Arabidopsis thaliana: one gene and its partners. The protein of the gene in region 1 interacts with the protein of each later gene in a pairwise test. Each region holds a gene or a part of one and is shown in the gene's direction. Other genes may lie near its edges. The genes, in order: bHLH071, AT4G29930 and AT5G10570.

Evidence for each region.
Region 2: the proteins of bHLH071 (region 1) and AT4G29930 interact in a two-hybrid assay, tested with the Arabidopsis thaliana proteins (one large-scale study listed by BioGRID).
Region 3: the proteins of bHLH071 (region 1) and AT5G10570 interact in a two-hybrid assay, tested with the Arabidopsis thaliana proteins (one large-scale study listed by BioGRID).

What each region holds. Positions count from the first base shown.
Region 1 is NC_003076.8:18,941,780-18,949,198, forward strand, and holds bHLH071 (beta HLH protein 71), read left to right. Parts: upstream 1-3,763; 5' UTR 3,764-3,859; coding exon 3,860-4,216; intron 4,217-4,535; coding exon 4,536-5,003; coding exon of another isoform or gene 5,004-5,051; exon of another isoform or gene 5,052-5,496; coding exon 5,497-5,655; 3' UTR 5,656-5,858; downstream 5,859-7,419. Other genes in the region: AT5G46680 (Pentatricopeptide repeat (PPR-like) superfamily protein), read left to right, coding at 1-745. UniProt on the Arabidopsis thaliana protein: Transcription factor. May be involved in the differentiation of stomatal guard cells.
Region 2 is NC_003075.7:14,641,123-14,649,846, forward strand, and holds AT4G29930 (basic helix-loop-helix (bHLH) DNA-binding superfamily protein), read left to right. Parts: upstream 1-2,871; 5' UTR 2,872-2,985; coding exon 2,986-3,065; intron 3,066-3,187; coding exon 3,188-3,353; intron 3,354-3,737; coding exon 3,738-3,995; coding exon of another isoform or gene 3,996-4,046; exon of another isoform or gene 4,047-4,095; coding exon 4,096-4,383; 3' UTR 4,384-6,237; downstream 6,238-8,724. Other genes in the region: PRHA (pathogenesis related homeodomain protein A), read right to left, coding at 7,224-7,478, 7,633-7,713, 7,871-7,951, 8,113-8,193, 8,346-8,426, 8,529-8,724.
Region 3 is NC_003076.8:3,338,399-3,345,505, forward strand, and holds AT5G10570 (basic helix-loop-helix (bHLH) DNA-binding superfamily protein), read left to right. Parts: upstream 1-2,801; 5' UTR 2,802-2,958; coding exon 2,959-3,495; intron 3,496-3,737; coding exon 3,738-3,893; intron 3,894-4,115; coding exon 4,116-4,283; intron 4,284-4,392; coding exon 4,393-4,479; 3' UTR 4,480-4,681; downstream 4,682-7,107. Other genes in the region: AT5G10560 (Glycosyl hydrolase family protein), read right to left, coding at 210-953.

The sequences.
Region 1 (7,419 bases):
GAATGCGGTTACGTATACAACGATGCTTAAAATGTATTTTAAGACTAAGAGGATTGAGAAAGGTCTTCAGTTGTTTTTGAAGATGAAGAAAGAAGGGTATACGTTTGACGGGTTTGCGAATTGTGCGGTTGTTAGTGCGTTGATTAAAACCGGAAGAGCAGAGGAGGCGTATGAGTGTATGCACGAGCTTGTGAGAAGTGGTACAAGGAGTCAAGACATTGTTTCGTACAATACATTGTTGAATTTGTATTTTAAAGATGGGAACTTGGATGCAGTAGATGATCTATTGGAGGAGATTGAGATGAAGGGGTTGAAACCTGATGACTATACTCATACGATTATAGTCAATGGTTTGTTAAATATAGGCAATACGGGAGGAGCCGAGAAGCATTTGGCATGTATCGGAGAGATGGGGATGCAGCCGAGTGTTGTCACTTGTAACTGTTTGATTGATGGGTTGTGCAAAGCAGGTCATGTAGATCGTGCAATGAGGTTGTTTGCGTCAATGGAAGTTAGAGATGAGTTCACTTACACTTCTGTTGTGCATAATCTATGCAAAGACGGACGGCTTGTTTGTGCTTCGAAGCTGCTCTTGTCGTGTTACAATAAAGGAATGAAGATTCCGTCATCGGCTAGACGAGCAGTGTTGTCCGGCATACGGGAGACGGTATCTTACCAAGCAGCAAGGAAGACACATATCAAAATCAAAGCAGCTATTGAGTGTAATACACTAATGTACCCTTAAGACATTGAAAAGTATCTAATAGAAAAATTATTGAATTGTACATGAGCATAAGGGATGTTTTCATACTAAATTCTAGTCGAGATTTGACAACTCTCTTAACCATTTGAATATTTGTAATATTAGCCAAAGTCTCATCAACCATATCAATGACTCGAGTTATTAAGCAACAAGCTCTTCAATATAGCTAAGTTTTTGATAATTTATCAGTTACTTTGTTTAATTTTAGTCATTTGATTAGAGTTTTGGTCAGAGTCTTTTAAGAATTAAGGGACCAAAGTAACTTCAGACAAAATGACCAAAGACACCACTTTTGAAACCACTGGTCCCAAAAACGAAGCCATGTTACTCATGTGCTGCTTCTGAACACAGTTAAAAAGCTAATCTTTGAACTATGAACCTACTCTCTAGAACTTTTTACTATTTGGGTTTCTTTGTTTTTAACAGAAAACAGTAAAGTTTTTTTTTTTTTTTTGCAGAGGACTAAAAGATAAGACTGAGTCTAGTCTCTCGACGTGGACAAATCTGACAAGAACAGTTACTGCTCTTCGTCCTCTTTGTTGTTATTGTCGTCTCTCTCTCTCGGACTTTGTAAAATGTTACACTGACTTCTCTTAATCTCTCTACGTAAGTACAAAGATCTATTGCATGTTAGAGATGATGTTTTCAGAATTTTTTTAGAGACATGAACACGTGTTTGTTTGTTGATGCAACGAATCAGATTAGAGTAGACACGTTTTCTAGGTTTAAAAACATTCACAGGAATCTTTTTAAGTTAAATTCTTGATAAGAAATAGAGACGAGTTTGTCCAAAAAAAAAAAAAAAGAGAGATAGAGACGTTGGAACTTGGAAGCAAAAGGTTTTTGTTGCTTGTCAAAGAGATTAAGAGAATATAGTTTTGAATTAACCAACAAATAGAGTCTGATTAATATTAAGTGTGTATACTTTACTTAGCATAACAAATGTGAATTGTATTTAGCAATTATAAATACTGAGATCATCCAAAAACCCTAGTGGTGGAAACAAATCGAACCGATAAAACAACTCTAACCCTAAAGGTCGTCACAAAGAAATCTTATATGAAAAGACTCAAAATAAACCAAAAGGTTAATTAAGAGAATAAAAGGAGTCTACATACTAGATACCTTAAAACTAATACTATTGTAGTATTGTTTGATTTTCGCTTGCTATTGTCAAATTCGTGAAAGTTAACATTTTCCCTTTTTGGGTATTAGAGCAACGGCCATTGTTGAGTGGTAAACGAATAAACAAATTTAGTAATTGTAGTCTAATTATAGGTCGTTAATTTGGTTTTGTACACTTTATCACTTGTAGAATTTTGCATGGAGTGTTTTGTTTCTGTTACCGAAAATATTTGATTGATTTTGTGTCCGGAGCTGTTGTCTAATTCGTGAAAGTTAACGTTTTTTGTTTTTGTTTTTGAGAGATCTGACAATTTGTATCAGAAAAAAACAAAAAAGTGCAGATAGTTAAAAAGTAATTTAAATAAATAGAGAAATTTGTTTTAAATCACGGGTTGTGTTTTTTACCTTCATAGCTTCTTCTGGTCCTTCTAATGTGCAAACAAAACTGACTGATGAAATGGAGACAGTCCTTTTTTAATTATAAGCATACAATTGCAATTAATAATTACTCACTTTTCCCAATATTATAAAAAAAAATCTTATGGATATATATATATTCAAGAGGAAAATAAATAGCAATTGTGAGATTTTGCTTTCTTCCAGCACTCATTTGTCTCTTTACGTGTATGTTATTGTCCGGTCCCCACGGTCCAACATTGCTAAATACCTAACCGGTTTGGTCCCATTTGTTTTTCTTCTTGAGTCGAATATTTGGAATTTGGTCTCCATTTAGATGATTGAGTTTTCTTCCTTTTTTTTTTTTTATCGAATACCATATCACATATATACGCTTTGTTTTTGCATTTGCATTATAAAAGTCTTCAAACATTTTTCGGTAAAATGCCAACGCATGATCTCAAACGTAAAAATGAGATTCAACTATGCAAACAATTGCGTTAACATTTCTGTATAGAAGTCTGAGTTTTGCAACGAACAAGAATTACATATGGTTCCTTTTGGGGGTTGCAAAGAGTTGTTTTTAGGTTGAAACTTGAAAAATGTAAAAAGATTAAAGGTTTTTAGAGTAGTGAAAAGGGTAATTAAGTGAAAAAGAAAGAATGGTCCACGATTTCGAGAAAAGAACAAGACCTTAGACTCTCTCTGACCCCTCTCACGTGCCACCAGCACTCCATTGCTCTTCTTCCTTCTCTAATCCTTTTCTCATCTATGAATATATATACATATGCATTTTATATTTATTTATACACTATGAGTTAATCAAAAAACAAATTGTACGTTATGATTTTAGGTAAACGATTACAATTTATACAGCTTGTGTCATTTATTTTTGCCAACTCCTTAAACATATATCAAAGCATGGTAAACGTAGTCTTTTCTTCGAAGTCGATAACTTCATCGGTTAAACCTGGCTGAACTATTAACCTATATCGAGTACATGTGGTTTATGTTTCCATTTTCCAAATTCTTATATAAAATAAAATATATGATCAAAATAGATGACTCGAGAAAAAGAAAAAAAAAAACATATATTGAGAAATCATATGATCTTTGTATCTCTTCTTATCATAATTTAGGTTTGTGATAATAAGTTAGTCAAGTGTACGAATTGCAACTGATAATATGTGGAAACATGAAAATGAATATATATGTGATTATGCATGTTTTTAGCAATAGTCAAGCTTTTACAAGATTTAATAAGAAAAAGTATGGCATTCAGCAAAGTCCATAATTAAGTTTTCTTCAGAAGTACCCTTCCATGATAGTACCGATCACAATCAAATAATGTCTCACATGTACACACACTCAGAGCACCATAGCTTCAACGTTTGTCAAGAAAAAAATTTCCTTTTAATCATTGCCTTTTATTTTTTCGAAAATGTCGTTTTCGCCCGCAAATATTTATAACCTTTATATATTTTTTTCGAAAACAATAAATTAAAGATTTGGAATGTTGCTATATAAATCAATGATACTTAGTAATTCAATAAGGAATAAACTTCGTGAAGAGAAATGACTCTAGAAGCTTTATCATCAAACGGTCTTTTAAACTTTTTGCTCTCTGAAACTCTTTCACCAACTCCATTCAAGTCTCTCGTCGATCTCGAGCCATTGCCGGAAAATGATGTCATCATATCGAAGAACACAATTTCGGAGATATCTAATCAAGAACCGCCACCACAGCGACAACCACCAGCTACGAATCGAGGGAAGAAGCGGCGGAGGAGGAAGCCTAGGGTTTGCAAAAACGAGGAAGAAGCTGAGAATCAACGAATGACTCACATTGCCGTCGAAAGAAATCGAAGAAGACAAATGAATCAACATCTCTCTGTCTTGCGATCTCTCATGCCTCAACCTTTTGCTCACAAGGTTTAACTTTTATGGATATATATTCTTTTTAATGTTTGTAAAGTTTCAAGTAGGGTTTCAATTTTTATGGATAATTTTTTTAAATGGTTTACTATTTCGATTTGGGTTTCAATTAATATTTACAATTCACTGAAAAAGATTAAATTTTCATCTTGAGTTTTATTTTTTATGAAAGATTCATTCTAACGGTTTAAATCTATTTGATTTTCAATATTTATGGCCAATTCTAAAAAATTGATTTTTTATTAAATATATATTTGGGTTTTTATTTGTTTACTTATATGTTGTTTTGGTGGATTTATTTGTTTCCCCATGAAAGGGTGATCAAGCTTCAATAGTTGGTGGAGCCATAGATTTCATCAAAGAACTTGAACACAAATTACTATCTCTTGAAGCTCAAAAACATCATAATGCTAAATTAAACCAGTCGGTTACTTCTTCAACAAGTCAAGACTCAAATGGTGAACAAGAGAATCCTCATCAACCATCTTCACTATCTCTATCGCAGTTCTTTCTTCATTCATACGATCCGAGCCAAGAGAATAGGAACGGCTCAACAAGCTCGGTGAAAACCCCTATGGAAGATCTTGAGGTGACTCTAATCGAAACTCATGCTAACATCAGAATCTTGTCGAGAAGAAGAGGTTTCCGGTGGAGCACGTTGGCCACCACCAAACCGCCGCAGCTTTCGAAGCTGGTGGCTTCTCTACAATCGCTGTCCCTCTCCATTCTTCACCTTAGTGTCACAACATTGGACAATTATGCTATTTACTCCATCAGCGCTAAGGTAATAAAATTAAAACCCTATCATCTGAACCGGACTAAACCGGATTAGTTTCAATGCAATTTGTGCGGTATTTAGATCAAACAGATTACAAGATAGGACATTTATGCTATTTACTCTATCAGTAACTGATGAAAAAAAAAAAAAAACTCTATCAGTAACTAGGGTGATACAAACCGGAGCTAAACCGGATTTGTTCAAATGCGACTTGAGGGGTATTTTGGGAATATATGTTAGGAATTTAAAGCTAGACGGTCGATTATGTGCGGTCCAAGGGACAGAGCATATAAAAGGAATGTCTATGAGCTCTTAACTAGATTTGGTCCAACATTTATTACCATACTTGGTGGAGTCATTTTTCTTATTTTTCACCCATTTCTTGAAAACAGGTTCAATTATTGCCACGTGGGTTATAAAAATTGTAACAATTTGAAGCTTTTTTCAAATTCACATTATGCTATTTTTGTAAAATCATTTTCTTATTGGATGTTGAAAGGTGGAAGAGAGTTGCCAGCTAAGTTCAGTAGATGACATTGCAGGAGCAGTTCACCACATGCTAAGTATCATTGAAGAGGAGCCTTTTTGTTGCTCATCAATGTCAGAATTACCATTTGACTTCTCTTTGAATCACTCAAATGTCACTCATTCTCTCTGAGAAATCTCTTTTTTGTTGTTGTTATTCCTTCTTTTAATTTTATCACATAGCACATCTTTAGTTTTTTTTTTTCAGAATGAAGAAACACATAAGCTTTCTTTTAAAATCCTAGGTTCTTTTTCTGACTTTGTAAAGGCTAAATGTGAATTTATAATGGCACATAACATATTAGTTGTTTTACTCTTAATTTTATGCATTTTCTGATAGTAATTAAGTTATAAATTAGTACACTTGTGAGTGTTTGAATTGTTTTATATATATAACTGGATTCTTATATATACAAATCATCAAAAAATTTAGCTAGGCTCTCGATCTTGGATATTAGTTAGTAGAGAGTATATACTAAAAATCTTTTTAAGTGTGTTTATAAAATTTCAAGGGCTAAACAGATGATATTTTATGGAGATAGTTGTCAATTTAAGAGGCTAAGTTGTAACATGCAAATGGAAAAATCTAAAGAAATCAATTACGTGTTAATGTGTAATCGTATTAAAATCTTTTTGTGATAAATTAATTTGGATATTCTGTTACAGAAGATTTTAAGACATCCGCCATCATTGCGAGTGAGATTGTTGTGTTCGGTTGCTTATGTTGTTATATTACCATCAACATCCACGACACTATTTTATGGACCTTTCTCCAGTGGCCCATATTAATAGTTTTAGATATGGGCTTTATTTGATATATCCGTCTAGCTTTAGGCCACCAAGGCTGGCAACAGAGGCGAGAGTACTTCACTTTAGTATTCGGACAAGGTTTATATTTCTCCAAAATTGTTTGCTATCTTTCGACTTAATTTGCACTCATACTCGATAGGATGATAAATGCTCATCATTTTGGTACAATACACAATTTTTTTGGTACCCGCTGCTTTTTTTTCGTTCAATGCTTATCATATTCGACTTTACTCGTAACCGACGATCTTTGTACCCATAAAGAAGTGGAAATCTTGACTTTTCTTCACGAAATAAAGATTCTCTTCATTATCTCCTTTGGACTCCATGCGAATTTGGTCAACATGTTCACATTTTCCACATAACTGGTTCGTTCTAAGAAGGGTATTGTTGTTTATTATAAAGGGAATAGAAACAAATTTATTTTGTTTTTAGATTGTTAGCATATATACAATTAATGTCTGTATATAAAAAGAAATTAGGATATGTATTTGATTTTTGTTTTCTGTTCTATTAATATGTACCTTTATGTGAAAAATACTTGCATTTGTTGAGAGAACACGAAAAGATATACATAGACCCGCGTAATCTCTCCCGTTTAACTAAGATTGTTTAGGGCTGGGCACAAGGCAAGTACTTGCCGATTTGGAGGTACTTGTGACTTGACTTGCCTTGTCAAAGTAATTGGATTTTTGGCTTGTTATTTGCCTTGTTAAAACGAGTACTTGGTCTACCAAGTATTTGTCTAAATTTTAATTACTTGCAAGTTACTTGACCCACCTTGTTACTTGTCAAAATTAAATACTTTTACTTGAACCTAAAATATTTGGAATAAAAAACCCTATTTCATACATAATATTTAAGGTCAATGAGTTTTGTTATAATAAATTTTAAAATTTTAGCTTTTATAGACCAAACCAAAATTATAAATTTGTTATAATAATTTAAGCATTAGTATGTTAGTAACAAATATACAATGTTCAACAATTAACAAGGTAAGTAATAGAAAAAAAAAAAATCCAGACCTAATTATTAGTTATCCCACAAGTCACATGTACAAATAACGAGTAACAGAGCAAGTAAAAGGACA
Region 2 (8,724 bases), on another chromosome or scaffold:
CTTTTGTTGGGTACTGTTGAACGAATGTTTCTTTACTTCCATCACAAGACAAATAAATAACTCAATACGTCGCAAGTGATTCTTTATATTCCTAACTGTCGACTAGAAAGAAAATAAATATCATAGTTCTTTGACAAAAAAAAAAGAAAATATCATAGTTACTTTACTCCAAAATTATAGCCTATGACTAGACTTGATTGGCCATAGAAAATACTTACATATTATGTTATGATGGAATTTCTTCAGTAGCTATTCAATTCTTGTTAGGATACGACGCTATATTATGATGGAGTTTCTTCATTATTTACATGTTATATTATGATAGATAGAACAAGAAACAAAAATAAAAAGCTTCTATGTAATTAATTATGGAAACTTTCTTTGGTAATTTTTGTTTGGACGTTGTAAATTACTTTGCTGTTTTTTATTTTATTTTTTTTTGTATATGTTGCGTTTTCGTTTATTGTTGATTTATATATTCATCTAAACGTGCTTCCAGTTTTAAATAAATTTATTTTGTATTTGTAAACTTAAAAGGCCACATGGAAAATTTTCAAAACTTTACATAAATGACTGAAATTACAATTTACACCATTTTTCTTCACACACTTAAGAAGAGTCAAGACTAAATTTTGGAACATTCAAACGGGCTAAACCATTAAGCATCTTTGTCTGGGCCGAACTCAAAATATATCTCTGTTCAATCCGTGCCTTCAGCCCAACATGTGTTTTTTCAGCCCAATAAGTTTCTTGCATGTTTTGAAATAAATAATGAATTTTAGTCGAATTACTTTCTCTCATATCGGCATATTTTGTTCATTTTGTTTGATGAATGGGTTTAAGTCGTCGAAGTTGGTTAACCGATATCGTAACGTAAGATTGAACCGGAGTTTCAATACTCGTTACATTTTTTCGTATTCTAGCTAACGTGAACGGATGTTGTTTATACAGCTTTCTACTACAAAAGTAGATTTCAAAATTGAACTGCGATTTTCTTCTTACTCTTCTAGAAACACTTCCTCATATTTAATAAGAAACGAAAGAATTAGACTCCGACAATATTGGGAATGTTTAGTTGTCATTTGGACCCAATATAATCAATTCCATACATTTGCAATTGCAAGGTGGGTGAGTCATCAAAATTTATGAATCTTCCAAAGATTATAGATAGAACAGCTTTTAATTAGCCTAATAAACAAAAGGAAATACGATTATGCATACAAAATAAATTAAATATTAAGACTTTTAATGAATTCTTAACCAAAACCATATCAAGTCATATCATACACTATCCTCCATACACGTGGTAGCATACATAAGTACGTTAAATAATTTTATTTAGCAAATAATTTTATTATAATCATCTTTGATCACCAAGATCATGTTGGGCCATCCAAGCCACGACTTTAGTAATGTGAAAACAATATCATAAGGAACGAAACACTGTTCATTTCATACAATTAAAATACAACTTTTTCCTACACATTTTCTCAAGAGTTTAGTAAGTGAGAGACGAATGATTTGAGAAAACAGTTTTTACTTTTTTCGATTTGTTTCTCAAACTCAGTATTTTCGGATTTCTAATCCAGATTAAAAGTTCTGAATAAAATCACGGGGTATGGAGCAAAGCCGATATAAGTAAAAACCTTTCCATATTGATAGACACTAGATTTTTTTTTAGTTCATAAGATAGATACTAGATTTAGTTTGAGTATAATGGATTAATGTGGAACTAGTTGTATTGTTTAGTATGTGTATGTTGTATGATTTAGTGACCGTCTTCAGTTTTCTTGATGTCTTTCCACGTTTTACAAATTCTTGAAAGAACTGAGAACTCAAATGTATGATACATAACCATTGAAAAAAATATTTCCACCATCATAAATAGAGTTTTACGAATCGTTTCACAACTTTTAATTCAGTTGACACCATTAAATAATCAATATTTCTTTAGTTACAATTCAGTAGAATAAAATTGCATATGCTATATTATCTAATTCTATGAATATTTTCTGTCTATGATATTTGATTTTTATATACTTTAGATTTTGGATCACCCCCACATTATTTCGCTTTTCAGTCACATTTTGTGTTTAATATTGCTAGATAAGTCCGTGGTTATAGCTTACTTTGTTAAAATCATATATCTCAACTTATTTCATAACAGTATCTAAAGAAGATGGAATTTTATAAATATATAGACACTCAAAAATCAGAAGAAAATATATATCCACAAATAATAGAAGAAAACATAGATTTACTGCATTCAAATCAAGGGACATGAAAGAATATCCTGGACCCAAGTGGGTTATATTTTCAATAAAATTTAGCAAAAAAAGTTGACAATCAACTAATCATCACCATTATTGGCCATAATCATTACGTACGCATACACATAGCCACGATGTCTACCTATGTTTAAATCTTTGAATTCTGAAACTACGTATCTTTTATTTTTGTTTAAAAAAAACCTAGTACGTATCTTCTTTCCTTACTTAGACATCATCTTCTAACTTTAAGGATCGAAATTAGAAGAAAAACAAATGATTAATATCTACAAGAACAGAATTTTGCATTTATACTCAGATACTCTTCTAGTACCTCACAAAAATAAAATGAAATTGGAATTGAACACGCCCTAAATTCAAGTACTATACGGTCTATACCCATTTGAGTATATGAATAATGCATATTGTGAGTGAAAGAGATAGATACGATACACTCTTTTCTTTGTTTTTCAATTGGACAAAAGGAAACAGATTTTGATCTCTGAATTGAACGGTCAAGATCGTATATAATTATTTCAGGAGATTAAGATCCCACGTGCTTAAAAACTCTCTGTCAGACTCTTTATGTATAAAATCCTCGGCCCACTCTTGTTTTGATAGTACACTCAATAGAAAGACACAAAGAAAGAAAGAAAGGACAAACAGAAATAACAAAACCTTCCATTTCAAGAAAGCATCATCTTTGTGTGTCCGAAAAATGGAAGATCTCGACCATGAGTACAAGAATTACTGGGAAACCACAATGTTCTTCCAGAATCAAGAACTCGAATTTGACAGGTGCTTACTAGAATCTTGGTCCATTTTTTTTTTTTTTGTTTCTTTAGTTTTTTTTTCCGATAAAGATTAATCTTGCTTTAGTTGGTAATTAATGAAAATTGTTATAAATTATAAAATTTAAGTTGGCCGATGGAGGAAGCGTTTTCGGGTTCCGGCGAGTCGAGTTCGCCAGACGGAGCGGCAACGTCGCCGGCTTCTTCGAAGAACGTTGTCTCCGAGAGAAACAGACGGCAAAAGCTTAATCAGAGACTTTTTGCTCTCCGGTCAGTTGTTCCCAATATAAGCAAGGTATGATTAATTATTCCATTACTTCTCTTATTTGTTTAATCAACTGTCTCTTTTAAATTTAATTTGTTATCCAAATAATTTAGTAATAAAGTTTCGTCACCAGCAATTTTTGTTTTGGTCAACAGAAATTAAATAAGCGAATAAACTTTCTCTTCTTTCTTTTGTAAAGAAATAAAACTATACAAATACAATCTGGTTAAACCAAATCCAACCAACATTAAACAAATAAGCAAACCAAATTTTTGATACTCTAAATCCATATCAAGCCATACTAAAATGTATTTTGGTCCCCTAATTACCCTGATAGCATATAATTGTATACGTGTGATGATTTGTTGATTAAGACTGGATTTTATTGAAGTATTAATATTTATCTATTTTTAGTTGGACAAGGCATCTGTCATCAAAGATTCTATCGACTATATGCAAGAACTTATTGATCAAGAGAAGACTCTAGAAGCAGAGATCAGAGAGCTAGAATCACGGTCAACATTGCTAGAAAATCCGGTAAGAGATTACGATTGCAATTTTGCGGAAACTCATCTGCAAGATTTCTCAGACAATAATGACATGAGATCAAAAAAGTTTAAGCAGATGGATTACAGTACTAGAGTACAACACTACCCCATTGAAGTTCTCGAAGTACGTACTATGCATTATTTGGCAGTACATTCTAAATTACCTTTCTTTTGAGGTAAAGTTAATTATTCCAAATTGTTTTTATATAAACATGAAAAAACAGATGAAAGTGACATGGATGGGAGAGAAGACGGTAGTGGTATGCATAACATGTAGCAAGAAAAGAGAGACAATGGTGCAGCTTTGTAAAGTGTTGGAGTCTTTGAATCTCAACATTCTCACTACTAACTTCTCTTCCTTCACCTCTCGTCTCTCCACCACCCTCTTCCTCCAGGTCACTCTCTCCCTCTCTCCCTCTCTCATATCTTTATTTGGCAATGTGATTACTAGTACAAACTACAAAATTCTAAATGCATCTAGAGAATACTGTACGTGTCTTGTTTTGGTTTGACGCTCATTTTGCACTCATGGAGCGAAATTATAAAATGTTAATGGAAAGAGATGATAATATAGTTTAGAAGATTCTTGCTAATAAAGAATGTTAGATCAATTGTAATCAGCTATAAAATTAGTTTTATGCACTTGTCGGACTATAAAACACACCAACCAAATATATTTGTCCATTTTTAATTTGTCGCAACTATTCAGACTTTTATATACCAAATTCAAATCTTACTATTTTCTTTTCTTTTTGGTTATTTTGGGAGAAAAATGGTCGTCTGACGGCACGTAGACAAATCCTTTAGTGGACAAGAATTAATAATATGAATAAAAAGCATATGACTAAGTGCTTTAGTAAAGTGGATTGTTCTTTTGTTTTGGTAAAGAAAATATGTTATCTTTACGTAATAGTACAAAAATGTAATTCAAACTTACGAATTGTTTGGAAAATCACTATCAAATTCAAAAGGATAACCTTTAGACGGACCCATTTAATTACTACTTTTCTCCCACCTGTCTCCATTAAGTGGACCTTAATTCACATTACACCTTAAGTATATATAGTCAGTAATATCTTAATCAATCAATTAAAGCTCCAATTATTGAGGTTGCCTCGAGCCCATCACATTTTTTTCGAATTTCGCCTTGACTTTTTCTGATAGGGTTAGATTCTCTCAAAAGTTAAATGTCATATTCCATAAAAAATTAGGATTAACTTAATCAAAAAATTAGTGTGTGAAATCTCAAGTGCCTCGTGTCCCAGAAAGTGCCGTCCAAGCATAGTAGCACTAGAAAAACGTGGCTAATTTATAACCTCACGCGGTTCAACGTTTGTCTCTTTCACACTTTTAGCACGTGACTTTTCTAGCACTACACCTTATATCAATTCTTAACTCAAATTAACAATAGGCTACAAATCAACTGTAGCCAATTAGCAAGTTATTTGTGTTAACTAGTTGTATATGGTTCATAAGGTCTTCATTATGCTAATCATTTTGGTAAAAATTAGTTACTCCAAATGATATCCATAGCAGTTCATGGTAGAAATTAAGGTTTGGTCCTTTTTAATATAAGCAGATTTGTTAAGAGTTATTATTTTGTGTTTTTACTCTAAAAAATACAAATTCATTTCATTATCTCTATCTATTTGATTTGTTTATCATCATCATATACTAGGACTTTGGTGTAAACAATCTAATTACAAAAATGCTAGTTTCGTGAACTAACGTTCTATTTTTTTTGAAAAAGGTAATTATATTATAAGCTGTAGGTTGGAAATTTTTGATGACAACAAATACGAGTATTTCTTGCCTCACAAATGAATATAATATTATGTTGGTTTTCTTTGACAAAAAAGAATTATGCACCTTTATAACATTTTCTTGATAAAAGATAATATAATCAGACGCTAAAATTACAGTGAGGTATAGACCAGTGGAGTCATTGAGAGTTGGTGAAATCATACTCCAATCATTTATCAAATAAAAAGTCGATCATTTCATTTCAAACCTGTCCTTATCCGTCCTTTTAAAGATTATACAAAAACATTAAACAATGATTTATCCACCAATCTCATTTTCCACGGGAAATAATTATAGTAGTAATGCGTGCAGGTGTATATACACAAATTTATCAGTTCTAATTTTCTTTTTACGTGCTGCCAAAAAAAAAGAAGTTTTTTTTGTCTGATTCGTGTAAAACCTAAACACCCCTAATTTTAATAATCTATACTGACGTTGGACTTCCTAGAATCCTAATTTACTTCAAAATTCTGTAAAGATATCGTATGATTGAAATAATATAGGACTGTTTTAGTTTATATTGTGATAGATGTATTAATTATAGTAAATCGTTGAATTTGCAGGCGGATGAAGAAGAAAGCAGTGCAGTAGAGGCCAAGATACAGATGGCCATCGCAGCTTATAATGATCCAAATTGTCTTATCAACTTCTAATTTACTTCTGGTTTTTTACTTAAATCCGTTTTATGCAATATATGTGAAGAGCTACTATTGTGAGGGTTTATTTGTTTGAGCTACAAAACATCCGATGTTTTCTAATAAAATAAAACAAAAATATGCATGTTCCTTCTTATAATCTTAAAAATTATACTTCTAAAAAAATCATTTGAATTAATTGCAATCATAACCGAGTATAAGAAGAAAAAAACATAAAGAAATATGGTTAAACTAAAAAAGCAAATATGACTTTATAAAAGATTTTGTGGATACTTTGTCTTTGAATTGATGAACATGAATCAAATGCATATTGTAAGTTGCAAAATAGAGAGACTTGCCATTTGTTTCAATTTGATCTGTAAAGTTAGGCAACAAATGTTTAGTAAACTCATAAAAGTGACAGTAGGCTTTGTTAAGGAGTTATGTTCAGATAATTGCAGATTTGTAAACAATTTATTCTTACCGCTATATACACTCGGTCTAAAAGCTTTCTCTATAACCATCATCTTTCTATGATTATTACTTGGTTGAAACTAAAAATATAGTTGCCAATCTTACTCTATCTGTAAGAACCTAAATCTTTCAGCTTTATTATTTTTTAAACTAAAATTAAAAGCCAAAGTTATTTGGAAAAAGGGAATTAAAAAAAAAAAGAGAATAAAAAACGAAATGTACATAATTCAAAAAAGAGAGCTAAAAAGTTCCATTAAAAAAAAAATCCCAGTTTTATTTTTTTCTGGGGGATTTTATCTGAAGTTTAAATGACACATACAAACTGAATAATACACAAAACTACATTAGGTACTCTCTTAGACTACGTTCCAAAAGAATCTAACAATACCAAAACTTCTGCAAAGGACTTTTTTCTTTTCTTGATATATATATATATATTGTTACCTTTTCTCCTTGATCTCTGCTATTGGAACATACACTACTGAGTCTTCTTCAAGTAAAGGAGAAGAAGAATTGCCTAACTTTTTTCGGCCTTTTGGTGTTTTAAATCTATCAAGCCTCTGCGTCACGTCCAGTAACTTGTTTTCTGTTCTACAAAGCATCTCCATTACTGCTTCCAATTCTTCCTCTTCCGTCATCTTTCTCCCCGTCTCCTTCTCTTCTAAGCTCATTTCGTTGCTTAGCTCTTCATGTGACTGAACACAATAAGAACAAATAAACTTTAAAAATCTACAATTGTCTAAAACCACTTGTCAAACCAAATTCATGGAAGCGATACTTGATCATGGTTTCTTTAATATAGATATGTTCAATAAACTCATTTTGGCGAACCAGCTAATTTCATTTTACCTCTTCCGTCATCTTGCTCCCTGTCTCCTTCTCCTCTACCGCTGTACTTAAGCTCATTTCGCTGTTTAGCTCATCATGTGGCTGAACATAATAAGAAAAATAACTTTTAAAATCTGAAATTGTTTAGAATCACTGGTCAAGGCAAGTTCATGGAAGCAGTACTTAACCATGGTTGTTAAATATCAGATATATATGTTCTATCAACTTATTTTGGCAAATCGGCTAATTCATATCTTACCTCTTCCATCATCTTGCTCTCTGTCTCCTTCTCCTCTACAGCCGTCTTTAAGCTCATTTCTCTGCTTAGCTCTTCATGTGGCTGAACACAATAAGAAAAAAATTATTTAAAAAATTTAAAACTGTTTAAAACCACTGGTCAAGAGCTCAAGGCAAGTTCATGGAAGCAGTACTTAATCATGGTTTTTAGTAATAGATATGTTCAATGAACTCATTTGGCGAAACGGCTCATTTGTATCTTACCTCTTCTATCATCTTGCTCTCTGTCTCCTTCTCCTCAGCAGCCGTCTTTAGGCTCATTTCACTGCTTAGCTCTTCATGTGGCTGAACACAAAAAGAAAAGTAACTTTGAAAATCTAAAATTGTTTAAAACAACTGGTCAGCCAAGTTCATGGAAGCAGTACTTAATCATGGTTTTTTATTAATGGATATGTTCTAGAAACTCATTTTGGCGAAACAGCTAATTTATATTTTACCTCTTTCATCATCTTGCTTTCTGTCTCATTCTCCTCTACAGCCGTCTTTAAGCTAATTTCGCTGCTTTGCTTTTCATGTGGCTGAACACAATAAGAACAAATCACTTTTAAAAATCTAAAATTGTCCAAAACCACTGGTCAAGGCGAGTTCATGGAAGCAGTACTTAATCATTTCTATCTTACCACTAGAACGAAAGAAGAATCGTTTTGTTCCAGATACTGTTGACTTTCATCTGTGGGTGAAGGAAAAGAGACATTTTCCTGTTGAAATTCCTCCTGGTTGTTATTACATGGGGAGAGTATGTTTTGATTTGTAGCGTCAAATCCGGGTGGAACAGTGTCATCCAAAGTATCTTGAACTTCATTTGTTTCAGTGTTG
Region 3 (7,107 bases), about 16 Mb from region 1:
ACCATGGAGATAATGCAAAAGCCAGAAGCAATATAACTAGTTAAATTCTGTTTCATGAACACCAAAGAAAGGTGCATTCAATAAAGTCTATAGATTTAATTCTATTTTAGGTCAAACCTGATCCACTAAACCTGAGAGTTCTCAATTAAAATCCAATTGAAGTTGATACACAAGCTACACATAGTGAAGAAAAGAGTTCTTAGTCTTACCACAGCATTGAAGTCGTATCTAGTGAAATTCCCCCATTTTTCCAAATCATAGGCAGTGAAATGCTTACAACAAGCAGATAACATGAGCTTCCCATCAGCATCATCATCATGACGATCATCATCAACATCATCACTAAATCTTCTTTTCAAAACCTTCCTTTTCTTCTTCTCTTGAAACCCTCTAACGAACTCAACTCCATACTCGGAAACTACCTTCGGATCCTCACCAGGAGTCTCCTGTCCTCTTCCCCATCTCGGATCCCTAAACACATTTATATTCGGAGCCCAAAACGTCAACCCAGCTTGACCACCGTTGTACATAGCCCGACCTTCCACCGCAACAGCAGATCCAATCTCGTACCATAGCGTTCTATTGAAAGATGCAGCAGATACGATTACCTGAGGAAAACTAGTAGCGGCGGAGATCGAACCGTTGAAGGAAACTCCGGGACCGTTATCGGCGAGTCCGTGTAAAGACTCCGACCACCACTCGTACGGAGGAATACCGAGACGGGGTACTGAAGCAGCTGTGTTTGAGAGCTGACCTATCTTCTCTGGGAGCATGAGGAGGGAGACGAGAGAAATTGCTCGTTGTTTTATGGATAAAGAGACATTGCAGAAGGGATAAGAGCTAAAATGAGGAGGTTTACAAGGGAACTGTGGATGAGAATCGAGGTTTTTGAAGGTTTCAGCTATGGCGGAAGTGAAGAAGAGTAAGGAGATTAGAGTCAACTGAAGATTCATATTTTGGAGGAAAATAAATCTGTAGAGAAGAGTGAAAAAGGAAACTAAAAGGTATAGTTTTAAACCGAACTAAATAGACCGGTAAAATCTAAATTAACAGTTGGACCGGTTGGTTCACTGCTGTTTCTTGTTACTTGTCATTTGACGGACGGTAGAGGGGCCAAATCATTATGGGCCTTTATCTAATCGATTTATAGTAATTAATTAAGATCAGTGAACATTTATGAATTGGGGCTTTATCTAATCAAGGTCTACAATTTTTGTAGACTAATGCTTGAATAATTTTACTTTTACAAATGGGTGGGTTTCAAGTGTCTCTAGCTAGTTGACAAAAGAAAACATTAAATTTTATTTTAAAAAAATTAAAAATGATAGTATTTTAAAATTGTATATAAATTTTTTATTCACAAGGATTTAAAAATATTAATTGTAAATAACAAAAATTTTAAAACCACCAAATTTTATGTATTGTAGTTATATTAAAAGTCAGAATTATTTACTTTGGTGTAAAACTCTCTAAAATAAATGAACCGAAAACTCAAAACCCAATATTGAAACTTAACTAACAACCCCAAAATTTTCAAATATGCATCCATAGTGGCTTAGTCATGGTCACATAGCACATAATGGCTGAAGCTTATTCACGTGTTTCATCTTTTCTTATCCCTGCTTCTGCTTGCATGCATTCACCTTGAAAATTGTGTCATTTTTTTCTTATGGTTGTTACTTTATTTTATTTACTAAACCTTTGTCAACCCAACTGTTGATCCCTGGTTTTAGTTAAACCAACAATTATTAGGATAAACACATACTTTTTAAAAAAAGTCAATGGGTATCCAAGAATGATTAGTTTAGAAATTTAAATATATGAAATTTTGTTAATTTTCAATTTAAATGTTGAGAAATGAAAACAATGAATTGTCAAAGAAAAGCAACTTATATAATGCAGACAATAATGATATCCGATTGAGTAGTAAATAATGGAGTGAAGATAGAGTAGGAGACAGTGTGTGTCCACAAACTCTCACGCAACTCGCTTCTGATATAAGAAACAAATTTCTTTGACTTAAGCCTTCTTCGATCTCTTTGACCTGTCAGTCTTTTCTTTTTCCATATTAATACAATCATACACTGATACACCACAATGTAATAATTTGCGGAATTATGTCTATTAGAAGAGACACGGGTGTTTATTTTTTCCCGTAATTGATCGATATCGTCGGATACGAGTACTTTTGAAATGGCAAAAACTCACAATAATATATATCTATTCAAGATTTTTCCATGTTATTAACGTTCAGTGCCAAAAGCCTATCCAATAATAATAATAAAAAAGCAAATATGATGGCAGCTTCTCAATCTCGAAATCTAGACCATTATCTCTTACTTTTGTAAGCATCTGATTATTCATATTTGATATTTCTAATATTAAATACCATTCGTATCATATACATAAGTTGACTAAGGAAGAGAGCTAGATGATGATGTTCATTCATTTTGGCCGGGACATACTTTGTGGGTCAGATCATTTTTCCGATCAAAGAGAACGTATAAATTACTTAATATCGTCACTGAAAACGAACCATCAATAATAATACGATTCAGACAACAACACAAAAGAAAACGATATTAAGTAAAAAAAAAATTTCATCAATCTCAGCTTATGCCTCATAGGTTGGTGCTGGACCATGGATCAAAAACAAACACACTAAATTGTAATGTTTTCTAGTGGATCTCTCCTTAAACAACTAGACAAAACTACTTATTTGTATATATATTTTTAACTATTAAAATCCACTTTTTATGTAACAAACAAGTCATAAATATACATATGTCAAATGGAATAAAGTAATTCTAATCAGTTAAAAAGTGAATTCTTCATTACAATTCACACTTATGTAATGCATTTACATGCATTTGTATCTTCTTTGACCCCAAGCTCACAAACTCTGTTCACTTCCACTTTCACAAATAACAGAGTTTCAGAAAATAGAGAGAAAGAGAGATGGAAACGGAATTGACGCAATTGAGAAAACAAGAAAGCAACAATCTCAACGGCGTTAATGGAGGATTCATGGCGATTGACCAATTCGTCCCAAATGATTGGAACTTCGATTACCTCTGTTTCAACAATCTTCTCCAAGAAGACGACAACATTGATCATCCTTCTTCTTCTTCTTTGATGAATCTAATTTCTCAGCCACCTCCATTGCTTCATCAACCACCACAACCGTCGTCACCTCTTTATGATTCTCCGCCGCTCTCCTCCGCTTTCGACTATCCTTTTCTCGAGGATATCATACACTCCTCTTATTCTCCTCCTCCATTGATCCTTCCGGCTTCGCAAGAGAACACCAACAATTACTCACCATTGATGGAGGAAAGCAAGAGCTTCATAAGCATCGGAGAGACTAACAAGAAAAGGAGTAACAAGAAGCTTGAAGGTCAGCCTTCGAAGAATCTTATGGCGGAGAGACGGCGGAGGAAACGGTTAAATGACCGACTCTCCCTGCTCCGATCCATTGTCCCTAAAATCACCAAGGTCAAATTCCATAAACCTCATCCTTGTCACATGTTATATGGTTTTTATTTTTAAGTCAAGAAGAAATATTCTTCCTTTTTTGTTAAGTTCTTAACGTTACATGTATGTTTTCTTCTTGTTGAAATCTTTTTTTTGGTACACTGTTCACTGATAAAAGGTTATTGCTTTTTGTGAATCTGCATAGAGTTTGTTGTATGAGAAAATGTATATAATTTTTGATGATTATTATATAATAAAATCAGATGGATAGGACATCGATACTAGGAGATGCAATAGATTACATGAAGGAGCTTTTGGACAAGATTAACAAGTTGCAAGAAGACGAACAAGAACTTGGAAGCAACTCTCATCTAAGCACCCTCATTACAAACGAATCTATGGTCAGAAACTCCCTAAAGGTAAAAGCTAAAAACAAAACATAATGTTATTATGGTATTTGTGCTTCAGTACTCATAAGTCTTGTGTTTTTACAAATTCATCCCATTACAAATCATTTGTTACAAACACCCTCATCATATACTTGAATCAATTTGATTCCCATTAGATATCACTCAAAAAATTATAATCACTTGAAGGTGCAGACAATTTTTCTGGCTATAACGAAAACGAATCTTTTGCAGTTTGAAGTAGATCAAAGGGAAGTTAATACGCATATTGATATATGTTGTCCTACGAAACCGGGTTTGGTTGTATCAACGGTTAGTACATTGGAGACTCTAGGATTAGAGATTGAACAATGTGTCATTAGCTGCTTCAGTGACTTCTCATTGCAGGCTTCTTGTTTTGAGGTACAAATATTATTACACTTTGATTTAGCCTTACTTGGTGCATCGACAAATTAAATGTATATTCTATAATTATTTTCTGTTATATTCTGTTTTTTTCGTATATATGTAGGTTGGTGAGCAGAGATACATGGTTACTTCGGAAGCTACTAAACAAGCACTAATCAGAAACGCAGGTTATGGAGGAAGATGTCTGTAGGGGAGCTTCAAAATTGCAATGTTTTTTAATGATGATAATATTTTCCGGTTCTTCTTATTCTCTTGTGATGAGTATGATATTTCATAAGGAGATAGATAAATGGGAAAATCAAAGGTGTAAAAAGAACTCATTGATGTTTACCAATTAGTCTCCTCGACTGACCCCTCGGTTTCTAATCCGACTCATTAATAAAACATGCAAAATAGAGAGAGCAGAAATGTTAAAAAGAGTTTTCATTTGGGCCCAATAAGCCCTGTTATACTAAAGCCCAAATAAAGTCCACTAAAATTCTGCCAGCTTTTTGACCTAACGAGCTCCATCCGTTTCCTCTTTAAATAGCTGCGTCTAACTTTGAACCCTAATCAAGTTATCCGAGAATCGGCCACTCAAAGCTTATTATCAATCTATATAGTTCGATAGATCTCTGTGCTAATTTTTTTTCTTGCGATTTGTTTTTATGGTTTATGTGTTTTGGTGGTTTTTTTAATGTCAATCGGGACTGGAGTTTGACTCTTTAGCAAAATAACGATGCCATAGAGATGAATGCAGCGCCCTAAATAAAAAAGACCACAATCGGAGATCTATCTCAGTTCTGTCCGAAATCGATTCCCTCGATATTGGACGCTGAGATAGTTCTCACATGTTTTAATCTCTGCTTGTTTTTATTTGATTTTATGAATGATTATGATATGATTCGTAATGGGAGCGGTGATTCAGGCAACCTACTTGTTAATAAAACAATGACATGAGAGGTGTTTAACTGCTCCTAGATCAAATTATGCTTCTGCTCTTCAGACTTGCTGAGATTTTATCGTCTTTGAAGCTGGTCTAGTAGTCTTAAGCACATTCTTTCAATCTATATGGCTATTCCACTTTATCCGTCCCAATTCTGATGTGTTTACAGAAACCAGATCTTGTCTGATTGTGTTTCGTCCGGTTTATTTCGGATTCCTAAAGAAGAAGGGTTTCGATTGCACCTAGGCCCATTTCTACCGTCTATAGTTATTGTCATTGGTCTACTGGACATGAAAAATTATATTAATGGATATGACATGTCTATTTTACTAATTAGAGGAAAATATCTAATGTATCTGCACAATCCTACATAACATACCAGGCGATTGTGTTATGAAAATAAGATCTTTCAAAAGGGACAAATTTCTGTAAGAACGTCGTGTTATGTTATAAAAAAAGAAATTTTATTTTCCCTTGATTCCTATAAAAAAAAGAAATTACATAAGGGTTGATTACACATAGGCCCATTTCAAGCCTTTCTAGTGATGGGTCACTCGACATGAAAAAAGATTAATGGACTTTATAGGTCTAACCGCAGTCGTTGTAATTCTTGAACATAATAAGATTATCAGAGGATTTATTTTGATCCAAAATTTGTTTTTATACCTAACTTATCCTATATTCTATATGTTTAATGGTTTATAAAACATAGTTTGATAGTTTGATATGGTTATGCGTAAATTTTGAATAAAGTTTTATTGTCACCATTCAAACTTAAAATAATACAAAACTCATATAATAAAAAAAGGTAAAGACTGTAGACTAAAAAGAAAATAAGATAAAGTTTTTTTTTATAAAGACACCGCCACTGAAAACCTTAATTCATTTGGTAGAAAAAAAACAAGTTTTAAAATTTTGTCCACTTATCAAAAGAAATTTTTATTTTAAGTTTAAAACATAACTTTATAATAAAGACACAATTTGTTTTTGTTTTTGTAACTATTTATTCTGATTTAAAAATATTATAAACGAGAAACCAGATCAAAATAGCAGATAAAACAGGACTCTTTCATTCGTCTTCATTTTTAACACACAAATCTTAAATCACTTCTTTACGCCGACAAAATAAAAATAATCACATCTTACATATACAAATGTAAAATAGAATTTTTAATAGTAATCTGTAAGCAAGCAGGTGAATAATCATATAGAAACAAATCAATCTTAAGACAAAAATGTAATTATTTTTCTATTAAAATGAACGGTGAACCCAAAAAGTATGCACAATTAACTAAAAAGGAAAAATATGGGTAGGTTAGAGCACTAGAGGTTTGTGCGAGTAGGTTAGGTTTCGAAGTTTATACACTAAAATATATGGTCGAATGTGGACCTCACAATTTCTATTTGCTGACGAGAGCTTCCTTATTTGTTATTATACTCATATAAGATGAGCTGTTTAATAAGTTAATAAATCATAATTAAAGCAATCGTGTAAAAGATTAAGACATGTGAGTGCTTCATTTCTTTGCCGTAGTGTTGTTGTTAGTTAGTTATTGGGTCGCACGAAGCCACCACCCTCTCTCTCTCTTTTTCTTTGTCCCCAAAGAAGACAAATCTTTAAACGATTGGTTTAGGCCGTGAATACTGTTTTTAATTGTTGTTTTTTCTTATAGTGCAGATACTGTATTTAATTACGTATGTGTTAAATTTAAGTATTGGCACGATAAGAAACTTATTCAATTTCATTATTAATTAGACTATAAACTTGACTGGGGTCTAATTTTGTTTGTTAGTATCGTCAACAAAAATATTGTATATTAATTTCTTTTACCAAAATTATATATAAAAGAAAATTTCAACAACAAGCATGACCGTGTTGTAATACTCAAGAGT